Arabidopsis thaliana: one gene and its partners. The protein of the gene in region 3 interacts with the protein of the main gene of each other region in a biochemical or structural test. Each region holds a gene or a part of one and is shown on either strand. Other genes may lie near its edges.

The links.
Region 1: of the proteins of AT4G33540 (region 3) and MPK5, one has a biochemical effect on the other in vitro, tested with the Arabidopsis thaliana proteins (one large-scale study listed by BioGRID).
Region 2: of the proteins of AT4G33540 (region 3) and MPK7, one has a biochemical effect on the other in vitro, tested with the Arabidopsis thaliana proteins (one large-scale study listed by BioGRID).

The regions. Positions count from the first base shown.
Region 1 is NC_003075.7:6,890,007-6,895,174, forward strand, and holds MPK5 (MAP kinase 5), read left to right. Parts: upstream 1-1,919; 5' UTR 1,920-2,136; coding exon 2,137-2,309; intron 2,310-2,563; coding exon 2,564-2,693; intron 2,694-2,763; coding exon 2,764-2,901; intron 2,902-2,977; coding exon 2,978-3,310; intron 3,311-3,406; coding exon 3,407-3,590; intron 3,591-3,666; coding exon 3,667-3,839; 3' UTR 3,840-4,201; downstream 4,202-5,168. Other genes in the region: AT4G11340 (Disease resistance protein (TIR-NBS-LRR class) family), read right to left, coding at 4,202-4,462, 4,633-4,705.
Region 2 is NC_003071.7:7,906,883-7,911,797, reverse strand, and holds MPK7 (MAP kinase 7), read left to right. Parts: upstream 1-1,757; 5' UTR 1,758-2,081; intron 2,082-2,416; 5' UTR 2,417-2,423; coding exon 2,424-2,846; intron 2,847-2,936; coding exon 2,937-3,620; 3' UTR 3,621-4,024; downstream 4,025-4,915. Other genes in the region: AT2G18180 (Sec14p-like phosphatidylinositol transfer family protein), read left to right, coding at 1-30, 127-527, 619-744. UniProt on the Arabidopsis thaliana protein: MKK3-MPK7 module acts as a positive regulator of PR1 gene expression.
Region 3 is NC_003075.7:16,128,479-16,134,572, reverse strand, and holds AT4G33540 (metallo-beta-lactamase family protein), read right to left. Parts: upstream 3,981-6,094; 5' UTR 3,692-3,980; coding exon 3,487-3,691; intron 3,391-3,486; coding exon 3,347-3,390; intron 3,201-3,346; exon of another isoform or gene 3,040-3,200; intron 2,961-3,039; coding exon 2,880-2,960; intron 2,627-2,879; coding exon 2,519-2,626; intron 2,294-2,518; coding exon 2,202-2,293; intron 2,049-2,201; coding exon 1,974-2,048; intron 1,890-1,973; coding exon 1,820-1,889; intron 1,575-1,819; coding exon 1,473-1,574; intron 1,369-1,472; coding exon 1,260-1,368; intron 1,157-1,259; coding exon 1,094-1,156; intron 1,014-1,093; coding exon 895-1,013; 3' UTR 604-894; downstream 1-603. Other genes in the region: AT4G33550 (Bifunctional inhibitor/lipid-transfer protein/seed storage 2S albumin superfamily protein), read right to left, coding at 1-35; KUP5 (K+ uptake permease 5), read left to right, coding at 4,220-4,513, 4,607-4,835, 4,916-5,164, 5,293-5,343, 5,663-5,923, 6,028-6,080.

The DNA of each region.
Region 1 (5,168 bases), 9.2 Mb from region 3:
TAATGAAATCAAAACACGAAAATCTAATTCTTACGTCCTTGTTTTTTAAATTCTCTTACGTCAATTCTTACCTTTGCGACCAAAAGAACATGTTAAATTTAAACCTACTAATTTCCGATTTAAATTTCTTAATCTTGTTACTATGAACCAAAAATTACACAATCTTTTCCCACGGAACAAAGATTATTTATTAGTATCCATATACATACAAATATACAATACACTCAAGCCACTCATATTTCGTACTTGATCAAGATATTTTCCCCCGGTAAAATCCAATTTAGAATTGTACAACATATATATTGGAAGTTCCGTTGTGTCATACCGTCACACTAATAATACAGCATACCAATAATAGAGCGCAAACGTTTCACATTGAATAGTTCACCACATATCAACTTGAGTAAATTATTATGCTTAGAGTTGTTGTCTTTTTGTTTTTTTATTTTTTTTGAATATCTGGAAATTCAAACTCAAAGACCTTACATTTTCTAGAGGCGGGATCCACACCAGATTAAATTCATATCCTTTGGGAAAGAAATCTCTTCCAACATGCCTCAAACCCAGTATTTCTAACTGAGAGATTTACCTACATAATTCAACAATCATGTCTATTATGTTTTCAATTTAGGATATCTAAAAATATTGTGAAGATAAACGAAACAAAACTTGAGGGAAAAAAAACAGTCACGTGAGTCATGAGTTATAAAGCATGGATAATGTTGGAGATCTAATTAATCTAATTGAATGCCACATCAAATTAAGCCAATCAGTGGAGAAGATCAATAATAAAAGTGAATTGGATCTGCCACTACACTTTTAGCATGAATATGGCTAAAAGAGATTGGTATTGGTAATGGTATCGTTGTCGGAGATTGTCGTACCAATTAAATAACATGTAATTATTGGATATATATTATATTGTGTCGGCCTAGTCATATTTGATGTGTAAGTGCGAGTGATTTGAGTTAGATATGGGGTATTTTACGAGGAAAATATTGAACAATTTAGGGTATTTTAAGGGTTGTAGTTTGAGCATCACAAGTTAATTATATTTAGGTTCTGCGTAAATTTGACTCAAAAGATTAAGTTATCAAAAGAAACCTCGTATAATATGATCCATATTAATTTTCTTTTTTTTATATAGAAAAGTTGAAGATTATGAGTAAATTGGTAAACTCGCGATATTCCAGAGTTCAAAACGTAATTTTAATGACAATTTGGTGAATAGTATAAATTAATATATTAAGTAAAAGATAACATTCTATTCGATATTGGTTTAATATGTCAACTGTTATATGTACATATAAGATGTTACTGATATATTAAGTGAATAATATGATATTCACCAAAAAAAATTGTATAATGAATGTGACTTTGAGTTGAAAGTTTGAAAACGAAGAGACTATAACATTTGAAGGAATCTATGGAATACGGGTGTGGAACCAATAGTGGAGGCCCTCTTCATAAACCGAGTTTCCCGAGATCCAAATTGTGCTGATGGAGCGGTTTCTAACGTTCTTGTCGATAATACTTGCAAGCTTGGCCGAAGGAACAGAAGAGTTACCATGACGTCTACCATTACGCTCGCACCACAAAGTATGAATTGATTATATGGAATACATACCTTAGAATGAAAGTATGTAGTTTTGGATGAGAATCATCAAGTAGAAGAGGAGAGATTAAACTCCAACTTGTATTGTATCTCAGTATCTGTTGCGAAGAATTCCTTTAGTGAGAGATGTGTATTGATAGGTGAAAAGGAAAAGGTCTCTTACTTTCATATTACGTGGGCCTCATAACATAGACCAGAGCTGATAGCATACCTCTCTCTATATTAAATAGATGGGCCAGGCCCAAACGTTTACCCATCTGTATTTATTACAAAGTACACGTGGCTGATGGACATGTGACGATACGTTTTGACCTATTCAAAATATTCAAACTAATGAAAAAGAGTCGTTGTCCTCTGACGCGTCTCTCTCTATCTCCTTAGATTTTCAAAGTTTTCAACATTCAACAAAATCATTATTTTAATTTTGCAGAGACGAATCGAATCGATCTCATCTCCAAAAATCTTGTATTCAAAGTTTGATTTTCTGGGTTTCTTCTGTATTATCTCGATATTTGAAAAAAATGGCGAAGGAAATTGAATCAGCGACAGATTTAGGTGATACTAACATCAAAGGAGTTCTTGTTCATGGAGGAAGATATTTTCAATACAATGTTTATGGAAACTTGTTTGAAGTTTCTAATAAGTATGTTCCTCCTATTCGACCTATTGGTAGAGGAGCTTACGGTTTTGTCTGGTACAACTTCTACCCTTTTGTGTATTTCATATTCTTGTTTCTTACTTAGTATTTGTAACCCTAATTAGATAAAGAACTAAGTATTGGTATAGGTTTTTGAATTAGGGTTGCTTGCAAAATTTGATCTTTTTTGGATTTAAGAAAGGTTCTGTCTTCAAAATCATAGTTTAAATTGAATGAATTTGATGATTTGTTTGTGTTTGTGTTTATGTATAAGCAAAATGATTCATGAGAGTATTGGTTTATTGTTATAGTGCTGCAGTAGATTCGGAGACACACGAAGAGATTGCGATAAAGAAGATAGGTAAAGCCTTTGATAATAAAGTAGATGCAAAGAGAACATTGAGAGAGATTAAGCTACTTCGTCATTTAGAACACGAGAACGTAAGTTTTGTACTCTATTTTCGCGGTAAACGATTAGAGTTTCTAGCTAATGTGGTCTTGACTTGTACAGGTTGTTGTTATAAAAGATATCATTAGACCACCAAAGAAGGAAGATTTCGTTGATGTTTATATAGTTTTTGAGTTAATGGATACTGATCTTCATCAGATTATTCGATCAAACCAATCTTTGAATGATGATCATTGTCAGGTACGGTTTTTACTCTGCTATATTTGATACTATGGTTGATTTAATCACAAGTGATTCACTTTTTCTTCTTTTGCAGTACTTCTTGTATCAGATTCTACGAGGACTCAAATATATTCATTCAGCAAATGTTTTACATCGTGACCTTAAGCCGAGTAATTTGCTTTTGAATTCGAATTGCGATCTTAAGATTACTGACTTTGGTTTGGCAAGGACTACATCAGAAACAGAGTATATGACAGAGTATGTTGTAACACGATGGTACAGAGCACCAGAGCTGCTTCTTAATAGTTCTGAGTATACATCTGCTATTGATGTATGGTCTGTTGGTTGCATATTTGCTGAGATTATGACAAGGGAACCGCTTTTCCCGGGGAAGGATTACGTTCATCAGCTTAAACTTATCACTGAGGTATGATGTTCTGTTTTAGAAAGATCTGTACAAATGTTGGAAACTTTTATTTGTGTGTTGCAATGTGTTTATGAGTTGTTTCATGTGGTTGAGTAGTTGATAGGATCACCTGATGGAGCGAGTCTAGAGTTTCTCAGAAGCGCGAACGCGAGAAAATATGTTAAGGAGCTACCTAAGTTCCCAAGACAAAACTTTTCAGCTAGGTTTCCTAGTATGAATTCTACAGCTATCGATCTACTAGAGAAAATGCTCGTGTTTGATCCAGTAAAACGTATCACGGGTATGATGAGAAAAATTGTACATAGCGAGATTGGCATATGGGTGATGAATCCTTGATCATACTCTTTGTTTTGCAGTTGAGGAAGCACTGTGTTATCCTTACTTGTCAGCTCTTCACGACCTTAACGACGAGCCTGTTTGTTCCAACCATTTCAGTTTCCATTTTGAGGATCCGTCTTCCACTGAAGAAGAGATAAAGGAGCTTGTGTGGCTCGAATCTGTGAAGTTCAATCCTCTGCCGAGCATTTAAAACATTATTTAAGAAGGGGAAAGCAAGTTTTATACTCTGACATTGAGCAAAACAAATTAGTAGTGTTTAAGCTCTGTTTCTCCTTCATCTCATGTTGATCGTTGTTTAAGCTATTTCACTAGTTAAAAAAGCTGTCTTGCAACTCAAGAAATTGTTCTATAAGGATCCTTGTAACCCAAGACATATCTTTAGTAGTTATGTCCATTCTTATTATCAGGATGTCTTAGATAGTGTTCTGTTTCTTCTACATATCATGTTGTTATCTTGTAACTCAAGAAATTAAATTAAAAAGCTATCTTTGTTTAGACTTGTATCATGTCACTTGGATTGTACTCGTAGAAAATGGGAAAAACTCGATGTGTTTATTCATCTCCAGCAGTTTCTTCAAGCACTACGTCGAGCTCTTGCAAATTTTGGTAATGAACACTAGTTCGATCCTTCACTCTCGAAACTCGACAAAAAAGTCTATCAACTTCGTCTCTTGACTCTATTCGAGTGATATTTTCATCATCTAGAAGGACGTTGATCCCACTCCTTCGTAACGCGGCTCTAAGAAGGCTGGAGAACTTGTTGCGGATCTCTCGACTCCGAAAACTTATGTAAACTTGATGTTGCGGCGTAATCTAGAGATTTTACAATGATTAGCCACTAGATTTATACAATAATTATATATATATAATTAACATACAGTATGTTCTTTTGTACACACCTTTTTTTTTTCTTTGTCATTGGCAATATTTCAATTTCTCTAATTCTAGAACTACATAATTTTTGATTTAATAGGATTACGTACGTGTGATGAGGAAACGTTGTCAAGCATTGCCTTAACCTTCTCGACGATTTCATTTACGAAGGTTGCTTGGTTGCTTCCAAAACAAAGTAAGAAAGAAAACAAATCATATAAGTATGATAACAATGTCGCAAATGGAAGAAACTACTGTTAAATGACCTCATTTTTAGTACGTAAGATTTTGAAAGTTATAAAGACTAATTTCCACATATTAGGAATCTAACATTCAAATATTAAAAGATTTAATACTGTTTATACATAGTCAATACTCAATACATTCATTTTTAACTCGGTTTGGAGAATGTATTGTTTACTAGATTTTAACCCGCGGTATACTGCGAGAACAATTTTATTTTTAAATTAGTATATATTAAAGTTTGCAAATTAAATCTATTTATATAATATTTTTATTTTATAGTTTACAATTGTTATTAAATAACGTCTTGTCAAACTCGTCCCGCCAAATCCGTCCCGTAAAAAACCCGCGGTACACCGCTAATTTAAATATATAATTAAAATAAATATTTTACGGGATTGCA
Region 2 (4,915 bases), on a different chromosome or scaffold from region 3:
CAGAAGCTCACAAATTTTCCCTCTCAAAAAGTATAAGAGATCATGTGCAAATTACACTACTAAAGAGACAAATACTACTCCTTTTTAAAAGAACTTGAATTTAAGTACTTCTCTGTTTTTGAACAGGGGATGTTTACGCCATTCAAGAAGCTTGCAAAGCTACAAATGAAAGTGGAAGGTCTCCTATTTTCACTGGAGTCATGGCTTTTGTAATGGGTGTAGTCACCATGATTAGAGTGACTAAAAACGTTCCAAGGAAGCTAACCGAGTCAACTATATACTCTAGCCCGGTTTACTGCGACGAAAACTCGATGAACAAGAGCTCGATGCATGGGAAGAAAATGGCAACAACAACCATCTCAGGGGAAGATTTCATGGCGGTCATGAAACGAATGGCTGAGCTTGAGCAGAAAGTCACAAACTTGAGTGCACAGCCAGCAACTATGCCTCCTGAAAAGGAAGAGATGCTTAATGCTGCCATTAGCCGAGCCGATTTCTTGGAACAAGAACTTGCTGCAACCAAGAAGGTAACACAAAACAAAAAAAACTTTCATATATATTACTGATTTGTTCTCAGCTTTCACTATCTCACACTAAAGAGTTGTTGTATCTTCACAGGCTCTTGATGATTCTCTTACCCGACAAGAGGACCTTGTGGCATACGTTGAGAGAAAGAAGAAGAAGAAGAAGCTGGTCCGCTTTCAAATCAATGCCTACTTAACTAATTTTTGTTTTGGTGTTTAAAATGGTGTTCTGTTTTACTTTTTATCTCCATGTGCAGTTCACTTGGTAAGTGAGGAACATGAGGAAGAAGAAGCCTCTAGTGGAGTTAGAGGTGGCCAATGCACTCATGTCATTAACTTAAATCTTACAGTCACATTAAAATTAAGAGAATCTCCAAAGAAAGAATTTTGTTATGTCTCTGTATATATATATCATCCTTAGATGTTACCACTTATCCGCATCATATGCGAGATCATGTTTGATTTGTACAAAAGAAAACAATGAATTTATAAGAAATATATTTTGTAAAGTAGTTTTGTACAAAAGATTAGTGTGCAAACATTTTTAACATCAACGTATAAAATTCAAGTACACTTTATATAAACTAAATTACTAGGGTTGAAGATGAATTGGGGCTTGATGGTTTGGAGAGACAGAATCTTCGAAGATCTATGGAGAAACTCAAAGTTGATTGATAATCTGCGTTCGTCAACTGATAGGTTTACTCAACCATTTGCCACTCAAATTAGTTATGTCATCATCTGATGTTAAATCCATCAGCCACACTTATCCTTTTTTTAATCTAATCCTCAAACCTCTCCGAAAGAGACAGAAGGTCTTCAAACCAAGAGTGGTTTTGTAGTTGACCACTTTTTGAGGCTTTTAAGTTAGGTTTAACTACACCCAGTGGAAACTTCGGTTCGGACAACAACAAGAAGTTGCTCCCAATCTACGTTTACCACGTGTCACTTTTTCAGTCCACCCACGTGCTTAGCCGGTTACTTGATCCATTTAAATCCTCAATTTCTGTATTCGTGTACGTATATTATACCAAGACAAATTCTACTTAATAAATATCTTACTCAATCTTTTTAATTAATTACAAAAATTCCTATGCATTATTTTTTTCTAATTACCAAATATAGTAATAACAATCCTGATTTGTATGCAAAAAAAAAACATGAAGAGTCCATTAAACTTTAGAGATTTTTTAATTAAAGATAGTTTGTAACTGAAGTTTTGTTACACAAAAAATATCTAATCTAAAAAGAATGTCGTTTTCGTAATTAGAAGACTTTGTAATTTGTTTTTTTCCTAAAAAACGAAAAGAAGTAACCAAAGCTTCTTCATCAACCAACGTATTTTGCTTCCTTTCTTCTTCTTCTTCTTCCTCTTCCCCTAACATTCCATTCCCCGTATGGGTCTCACCACTTCCTAACTCTTCTCTCTCTTATCTCTTCTTGTTTTAGCTATGAAGAAGCAATCTCAATTCAGATCCAATCATACCCTTCTCTTCTTTCATCTCTGATCATTAACAACAACAACAACGACTCGGGTTCTGTAAATTCAGTTATTGGGTATGTTCGATCTCTTGTTCTGTTTCTTCTCTTTATTCATTTAGCTTGTTTTAACTCTTAATTTTTGAGTTTTGATTATGATTAATCAAGAGTTATCATATTAAAAAGAGAATTTTTATAACCAAAGTTTGCTTTTTTCTTATGGAGTAGTAAGATTGATAGCTAAGTAAAGGAAACGATATTAAAAAGAGAATTTTTCTTAGTTGAATTTCACTTTTTGGAGACGTAAAGGAGAAAAAAGCTTCAATGATTCATAAATCGAAAATTCTCTATAAACCCTTTTCCAAAATCTTACCAATTTAGGGGAAAAATACTGAAAGTTTTGGTTTTTGCAGAGAGAAAATGGCGATGTTAGTTGAGCCACCAAATGGGATTAAGCAACAAGGGAAACATTACTACTCCATGTGGCAAACATTGTTCGAAATCGATACAAAGTATGTTCCGATTAAACCCATTGGAAGAGGAGCTTATGGTGTGGTTTGTTCTTCTATCAATCGTGAGACTAATGAGAGAGTTGCTATTAAAAAGATTCACAATGTGTTTGAGAATCGTGTTGATGCTTTGAGAACGTTGAGGGAACTTAAACTTCTTAGGCATGTGAGGCATGAGAATGTGATCGCGCTTAAAGATGTTATGTTGCCTGCTAATAGATCCAGTTTCAAGGATGTTTATTTGGTTTATGAGCTAATGGATACTGATCTTCATCAGATTATTAAATCCTCTCAGTCTCTTTCTGATGATCACTGCAAGTACTTCTTGTTTCAGGTAACTTTAAGTCCTTCCTCGGTAACTCTATGTTTCGAGTTTTGTATGTTTAGTTATTGAAATAAGTCTTGTTCTTGTTGTTGTGTTTAGTTGCTTAGAGGGTTGAAGTATCTTCATTCTGCAAACATACTTCACCGGGATTTGAAGCCCGGGAACCTCTTAGTTAATGCGAACTGCGATCTCAAGATTTGTGATTTCGGGTTGGCGAGAACGAGCCAAGGTAATGAACAGTTCATGACTGAGTATGTGGTTACACGTTGGTACAGAGCACCTGAGCTTCTTCTTTGTTGTGATAACTATGGAACCTCCATTGATGTATGGTCGGTTGGTTGCATATTCGCGGAGATTCTTGGTAGGAAACCGATTTTTCCAGGAACAGAATGCTTGAATCAGCTTAAGCTAATCATCAACGTTGTTGGTAGCCAACAAGAATCTGATATTCGGTTCATAGACAACCCGAAAGCTCGAAGGTTTATAAAGTCTCTTCCGTACTCAAGAGGAACTCATCTCTCCAATCTTTATCCACAAGCCAATCCTCTAGCTATAGATTTGTTACAGAGGATGCTTGTGTTTGATCCAACCAAGAGAATCTCTGTAACCGATGCGCTCTTACACCCGTATATGGCGGGGTTGTTTGATCCTGGATCCAATCCGCCTGCACATGTCCCAATCTCTCTGGACATAGATGAAAACATGGAGGAACCAGTGATAAGAGAGATGATGTGGAATGAGATGCTTTATTACCACCCTGAAGCTGAAATCTCAAATGCCTAAATCAACATCAATGATCATTAAGAGTAAGCTTTTTCCAGTTTTTTTTTTTTTTGCTTTCTAAAATGCAGCTTTGATGTTATGTTATATATAGCGAGTCCACAAACGCGGGAACAGATCGATAAAAAGCCCGGTGCTTTGATCTCGTCTGGTTTGATTTAGTTGCAGTGAGTGAGTAGTAGTAACAGAGTTTGAAAAGTGGCTCTCAGTATCTTTACCACTTTGTAAATGTGACTGTTTGTTACTAAGTAAGTTAAGGCTTGTTTTTGTTACATTATCTTTGAGTTGATGAGTTTTACTACTGATTTTCAGGCCAACTCTTGTATTTTGTATAGCTTTGCCATTGCCCACTTGCTAGCCACACGAAATAATTTTTTATAGTTTAGATACTCTCATACTATAAAGTATAAACTAATAAAAGTATAGATGTTATTTTCTCTAGTTTTTATCCTACCTTTAAAAAGCCGCCAAACATGTTTTCAATTCATTATAAGGGAAGATTGGATAATGTGTCACTTCATATTTTTCGTTCTTTTTAGTACTACCAAAACAATTTCAGAATATATTAGTAATCTTATAAATAATGATCTAAGGAAGTGTGCTATTTTTTTCAGTTCCAATATGAAGACTAGTGTGTTTTAAAAATACTTTATTTTATAAGTGTATTTATTTCAAAGGTGAATTAGCTAAATAACCAATTCCTGAAAAGAAATTAAATATCTAGCACCATAAGTTGCCGAATTCAGAGAGTAACACATGAGGTGTGTGTAATGACAACACACTCTTTCACCACACACTCCTTCACCCAACTCTTTCATTCATGTTTAAGGCGCGTGAAGAAAACAGAAGTGTAGTGAATTATGCTGACGTGGTCTTTTAAGGAACAATAAAAGTTTAAGTTATGTTGAGAAGAGAAAAGAGAAATATGATTAAAATATGTTCACCCTTTTTAATATTGTTTACTATATTATGTTAACAATATTAATTGGTTAAATTAATAATACTATTAAAAAAACAGATTTTTTTTGTGTATCTAATATGATTTGAATTTTAAAAATCGGATACGAATTTCTTAAAAAATGAATAGTGATACCAAATTCTATACATATCATCATAGAAAAATAGAATAGTACTCCCTATGTTCCTTTTTGTTTGATTTTTTAGAAAAAAAAATTGTTTCTAAAAGATTGATTTTTTAGGTTTTCAATGCAATAGTTATTAGTTATAATTGAGAAATTGTAAACTTCAATACAAATTATTGAATATAATTGGTTTAGAGTTATTGAAAATTGTAAATC
Region 3 (6,094 bases):
AGAATAACCAATGTCCTTATCATGCCACTTCCCATCTCGTTTTATTTCTTTCTGTGAATAGTTCGTTAATTTGTAATGAAATCTATGAATGCGAATATTTGGTCCGACGAGAGATTTGTATATATAGCATAACGTTAATACTATGCTTAGTATTGTAACAATTTTTCTTGTTACTTTTGTAGTGGGAAGCAACAAGGCGAGGGAGTCTATATTATTTGTTATCTTTTGTTGGTGGGAATGTTTCGTGGCAGTTTTTGAATGAGGTTTAACTTTTTTAGTGGAGTGGTTGAAAAATAGTTTAGTGACTCATTTTTGATGAAATTCATTTTGTCTCCGAATGAACGTCGTTAATTAAAAGATGTCATTTTAAAGATTGTTAAATTTGGTGACATCAATTTTCGATCGCTAATCTACTGCTAAGTTTGTGAATGATTATTAGTGCATTTTCTTTTTACATGAACTTTCTTACCTTATGTGATGTTATTCGATGATCTCTGCATAATATGATTATTGTAGCATATGGTACCAAAACGAATATATTAAATAACATTTTTAACTAGCTATGGGAGATACCCTTATCAAATAAACAACTATGCATCCGATGCTTGTGAAAAGTCGAATATTTTTTGTGATTTAAGACATTCCGAATAACATGAAAAATATCGTAAAAAAACACAGCAACACTTTAGCTGACATACTTGCACTAGGAAAGAGGAGACTTTATTACTCACGGTCTTCGTTTCAATCTAGTAAGCGTTTAAGCAGGTTCACAATGTTACGTAGAAATAAATACATCACTCGCGTGGGAACTAACTGACACATAGACCAGTCAGGCCGTAGAGACATTCGGTCTGGTTTAGTTTGATTAACCGGTTTAGAATCAGCATACATATCTTAAGCTTTCCCGGATTTGCTAAAGGAAACAAGTTGTTTCTCTCTGTGCTTCTGAACAAGTGCTTCCAGATTCTTCGCCTTCTCGTCTCCATCTTTGAAATGTACTCTTCTTCCATGTCCTGATATACAAAACCGCCATCAACATCCAAAATGTCCATTTCAGTAGTAAAGCAGATATATATAGCCAAAGTGCACTAACCCGGTATTAGCCAATTGAAATCCAGGTTGATCAATTTTTCTACGTTCTCGAGCTGGAGAGGCACTGCCAGAGACACAAAAAAAAAACATTTAGATCAATCTTTCTACGTTCTTGAATGAATATTCAAAAACATTAACCCAAAGACATTCAACAGATGAGTCTTTACCTGAACCGTGATTGTACTGCTCTAAAATGCTCAATCCAGATTCGGTCATTATTACATGGTCGCCAGTGAATAATGCCTTGAGGGACTTATGGAACATGCACACTGATCCCTGCAAATTGTACGAAGCTCTTATCCCAAGATCATGATGGAATTCTTTTTAACAAAAATTGAACATTTGTTTTTATGTATGTTCTTGCAGTTGGACAAACTTACTTCTGAATGACCAGGAGTGTGTATAAGTTCGACATCTTCATAGATACTCCATGGTCCACTTCCTTCCAGCTTTAACTCCACATCAGAGGTCGAAGGTTCAACCTAACAAAAAAAAAATTCCCTTAATGGTCGATCAGAGATGGGTTTAGTAACAAAATTGTTTGCGTGGCTAGTTTACTTTTTACTTTTATCCAACCTCATAATCTTTTTCTATTTTCTACAGAGCATATAAGCAGCCCAAGGTTCTTGTAACTATGTAAGCAAGCTTTTTCATTTTTCACGAAATCTAGATGTTGAAAAAACCTATCAAGAATGTGCAGAGAGGTGTGAAAAATTCAAGGACATACATCATCAGAATGCAGAATTCTGGTAGACTTGAATCTGTCTGCCCATTTCTTGTGATCTGCAACATCATCCCTGAACAATGAAATCGCTTATCCTGATTAACAGAGATTACAAGAGAAAACACGGATTTTCTCCTTTAGGTGTTATCAATTCTACCTGTGTGTCAAAAACATGTAGCGAACACCACCCTTCATCTCGATCTTTCCAGCAAGTTTCTCCACGTACCTAGGACTGCAGCAAACAGCAAAACCTTGGTTTAATCAGTTGTGTAGAGTTAATAGCCACAACGAAGTATATCAAGAAATACATTGCATCAACAATGTATAAGATACTAAACAACAAAGAAAATAAGAATTCATGATGCCTCCTCCCAAGGGTATATACCTATCAACAAGTATATTTCCCTCACGATGAAGGATCAGGTAAGAAGTTGCTCCATACGATTTCTTGGAATGAAATCCACAATGAAAAACGCCCTGAGCATAATGCAAATCTCAAACTTTATAAACCTCAAGGACAGCAGACAACATATAAGAACAAGGTAGTAAGAGTCCTCAGTGGAGCTAAATCAGTTAAGAACTTAAGGTCATTGTATCTAAATCTATTCAAAACCTACGTATGCTTACAATGATCTAATCAGAGTTAGTTGACTTGTTAATAACCATCCTAAAAAAATGAAAGCTTAAGGGATTAAAAAGTACAGGAAGTGTGTCTTTGTCCACTACAAGTGGAAAGGTCTCTTGAGCTTCCCCTATGTCAGCAGGTGGAGTTTGAGTGCGAATAGAGCCCGTCGGACAAGATAGTAAGGCCTGAAAGAATCAAGAAACCATGAGTAATCAGGACAACCTCAGAAATTTTACTCACTAAAATATTTTTCTTCATAAGAAATTTCTCAGTCTATGACATCCTAGCAGACATTTCCACAAAATTTGTCTATCTGTTTTATAAGGTAACAATAAAAGCTATCAAAGACAAAAAAACAAGGAGATTCAAAAACATCCTCAATGAAATGTCATCAGATATTAAATAGAAAGAAAACTAAAATCGACGTAGTTAAGGCACCTGAAGAGCATTCAGTCTTTCCTCCTTACAAGTTGGTTGCTTTGTAACCGCAGACATGTTGTCCACTCGAGTGAATAAATCCTGTGAAGATAAATCAGAGAAAAGCTGTTTACGAATTGGCTGAAAAAAATGTAAAGGGAAAGTAAAATCCTGCTCTCACAGCTGCATTGGCCTGCTAACAAACAACTATAACATGAACATTCTAACTTCTTGTTCTCATATAATGACTGTGATCAAATCAGATTATATTCTAATGTTAGTATATCCTTCTTCGAGATCAATCCTAAGGCATCAACTTCCCAATACCCAAAATGAAAACCCCCCAACTACTTTACCCTACCAACCAATAGACCCAAAATGCTTAAATCAATTCATCAATTTCAAAGGACCACCAAAAGGGTCCACAAGACAGGGGAAAGAGCAGAAAAATTTAGGAGCTTTACAGATTTCAGAGAAGAAAAGCTTACCGGAACCATCCAACGACATGTATCACAATCAATACAAGTATTGTCTGCAAAAAAATCCATTGAAAGATAGACAGAGAGAGGGCGTTAATGATCTCTCTTTGTTTTCAATTTGCAATAAAAAGTAACCAGACTTTATTTACCAACAAATATATCTCCTTCGACGTTCTGAGTTCGTCTTCTAGGATTCTCATGGCTTGTCACTTGAGCTGCTTTGATAGATCCAAACACTCTCCTTCCTGATAAAGCCGTCGAGCTAAAACAGGAAGCTTTCGATGAAAAGATCGCTTCTTTTGAACGGAATTGATACGAGAGCGAAGAAACCGCAGAGAAAGAAGCTGAAGCCATGAGAATGGTGATTGATCCTCGTCTCTTCTCTTCTCTTTTTGTGAGCTTTGATGAGTGTAGTAACTCATCTTGAACTTCGCCCCTATGAAAATTATTTGACTATTAAAAAATCTATATTTGACTACTTGTGGACCCAGCTAAAATCCGGTTTACATACGGTTAAGCTTGATTAAATCGTTCAATCCTGATTGGACACGTGTAAGCTTCTTCTCATTCGTGCCGGGTCCTGTCCTCCTTTGTAGATCGTCTCTCTCAATCTTTCAAAACGAGAACCCGGTTTTTTAGCGGTTAAGCCTAATTTGGTCTGGTTTGTTTTTCCTTAAACCGTGAGTCTCGAATCCAATCATGATTGGACACGTGTAAGCTTCTTTCTCATTCGTGCCAGGTCCTCTCCAGTGTATGTAGATCAATCTCTCTCTTCCATCTCTCAATCTCTCAAAAACACCAATTCCAATCCTGTTTCCTTGGATCAGAGATACGAATCTGAATCACAATCTCGAGATCTTCAGTGTTTTCCAACGGTGATTGATGTTTCACGTGGAAGAAGAAAGCAGTGGAGGCGATGGGTCTGAGATTGATGAGGAGTTTGGCGGAGACGATTCAACGACGTCATTGTCGCGATGGGTGTTCGATGAGAAAGATGATTATGAGGTTAATGAAGATTACGACGATGATGGATATGATGAGCATAATCACCCGGAAATGGATTCCGATGAGGAGGATGACAATGTGGAGCAGCGTTTGATTCGCACTAGCCCTGCCGTTGACTCTTTCGATGTAGATGCTCTTGAGATTCCTGGAACTCAGAAAAACGAAATCGAGGTTAGCATTTGTGTGTGAATGTTCTTCTTCTTCTTCATGTTGTTTACTTTTCGATCTGATTGAGTTGTTGAACTTGGTAATGTGTTTTTTCAGGACACTGGTATAGGAAAGAAACTCATACTTGCTTTGCAGACACTTGGGGTTGTATTTGGTGATATTGGAACTAGCCCATTGTATACCTTCACTGTCATGTTCAGAAGATCTCCAATTAACGACAAAGAAGATATTATTGGAGCCTTGTCATTGGTTATATACACTTTAATATTGATTCCTCTTGTAAAGTATGTACATTTTGTTCTTTGGGCCAATGACGATGGCGAAGGTATATCTCTTCCTCTTTATATGGTGTAGATTGAAGTTCATTTAAGGTTTAAAGGTTTAAGTTTTGGAAATGAATTGCAGGTGGGACGTTTGCTTTGTATTCGTTGATCTGCCGGCATGCAAATGTTAGCCTTATCCCAAATCAACTTCCATCAGATGCTCGCATATCAGGCTTTGGTTTGAAGGTTCCGTCTCCAGAACTTGAAAGATCATTGATAATTAAAGAAAGACTTGAGGCGTCAATGGCCTTGAAAAAGCTTCTTCTGATTTTAGTTCTTGCCGGCACTGCTATGGTGATTGCTGATGCTGTTGTTACGCCAGCAATGTCAGGTACTTATATGCTGTCAGGCTACATTTTTTGTTCCTATGTCACATATCAAGTATAGAGAAAAAGCATGTGAGCATTATCGTTGCATGAATAATCTGCAGCTAAATTTTACCCTCTTTTTTGGACACAGTAATGTCTGCTATCGGTGGTCTGAAGGTTGGAGTTGGTGTTATAGAACAAGGTAACTAATTCTAGTTGACGTTTATTAGCGCCTATGTATGGTCACGAGCATGATTTCGTCTGGCTTTCAAAACTTGTAATCGTTCCTTGGATATATGTATTCCTTGGACCAGAAAACTTTTTATGGGTCTTTAATGGTTGCATCCTGGGTCCCTTGACTTCAATTAGATTATAGATACAACAAAGAAGAGGGTAAACTCTTCTGCCCCCTGAATAGGGGCTAATGATTGTACAAAGCTTTCAAAAAACATAATCTTATCTTGATGAGTGATTAGTGACTATTTTTTGTGTAAAGTTTCTGACTATGGCTTCATTTGCAGATCAGGTGGTCGTGATATCAGTCAGCTTTCTTGTGATCTTGTTCAGTGTACAAAAATATGGAACCAGCAAATTGGGGCTTGTTTTGGGTCCTGCTTTACTTCTGTGGTTTTTTTGTCTAGCGGGCATTGGAATTTACAACCTCGTAAAATATGACAGCAGCGTTTTTAAAGCGTTCAATCCTGCATATATCTATTTCTTTTTCAAGAGAAACTCTGTAAATGCTTGGTATGCACTTGGGGGTTGCGTTTTATGTGCAACTGGTAAGTTTCATATTCTGGGAAATATTTTAGAAAGCTTAAATACATTGAATGACTTTTTGACTAAATGTCATTGCTCATTTCTATACATGTGGATCTTGTCTCAGGATCGGAGGCCATGTTTGCAGATCTTAGCTATTTCTCTGTTCACTCTATCCAGGTACTTTAAGGAGA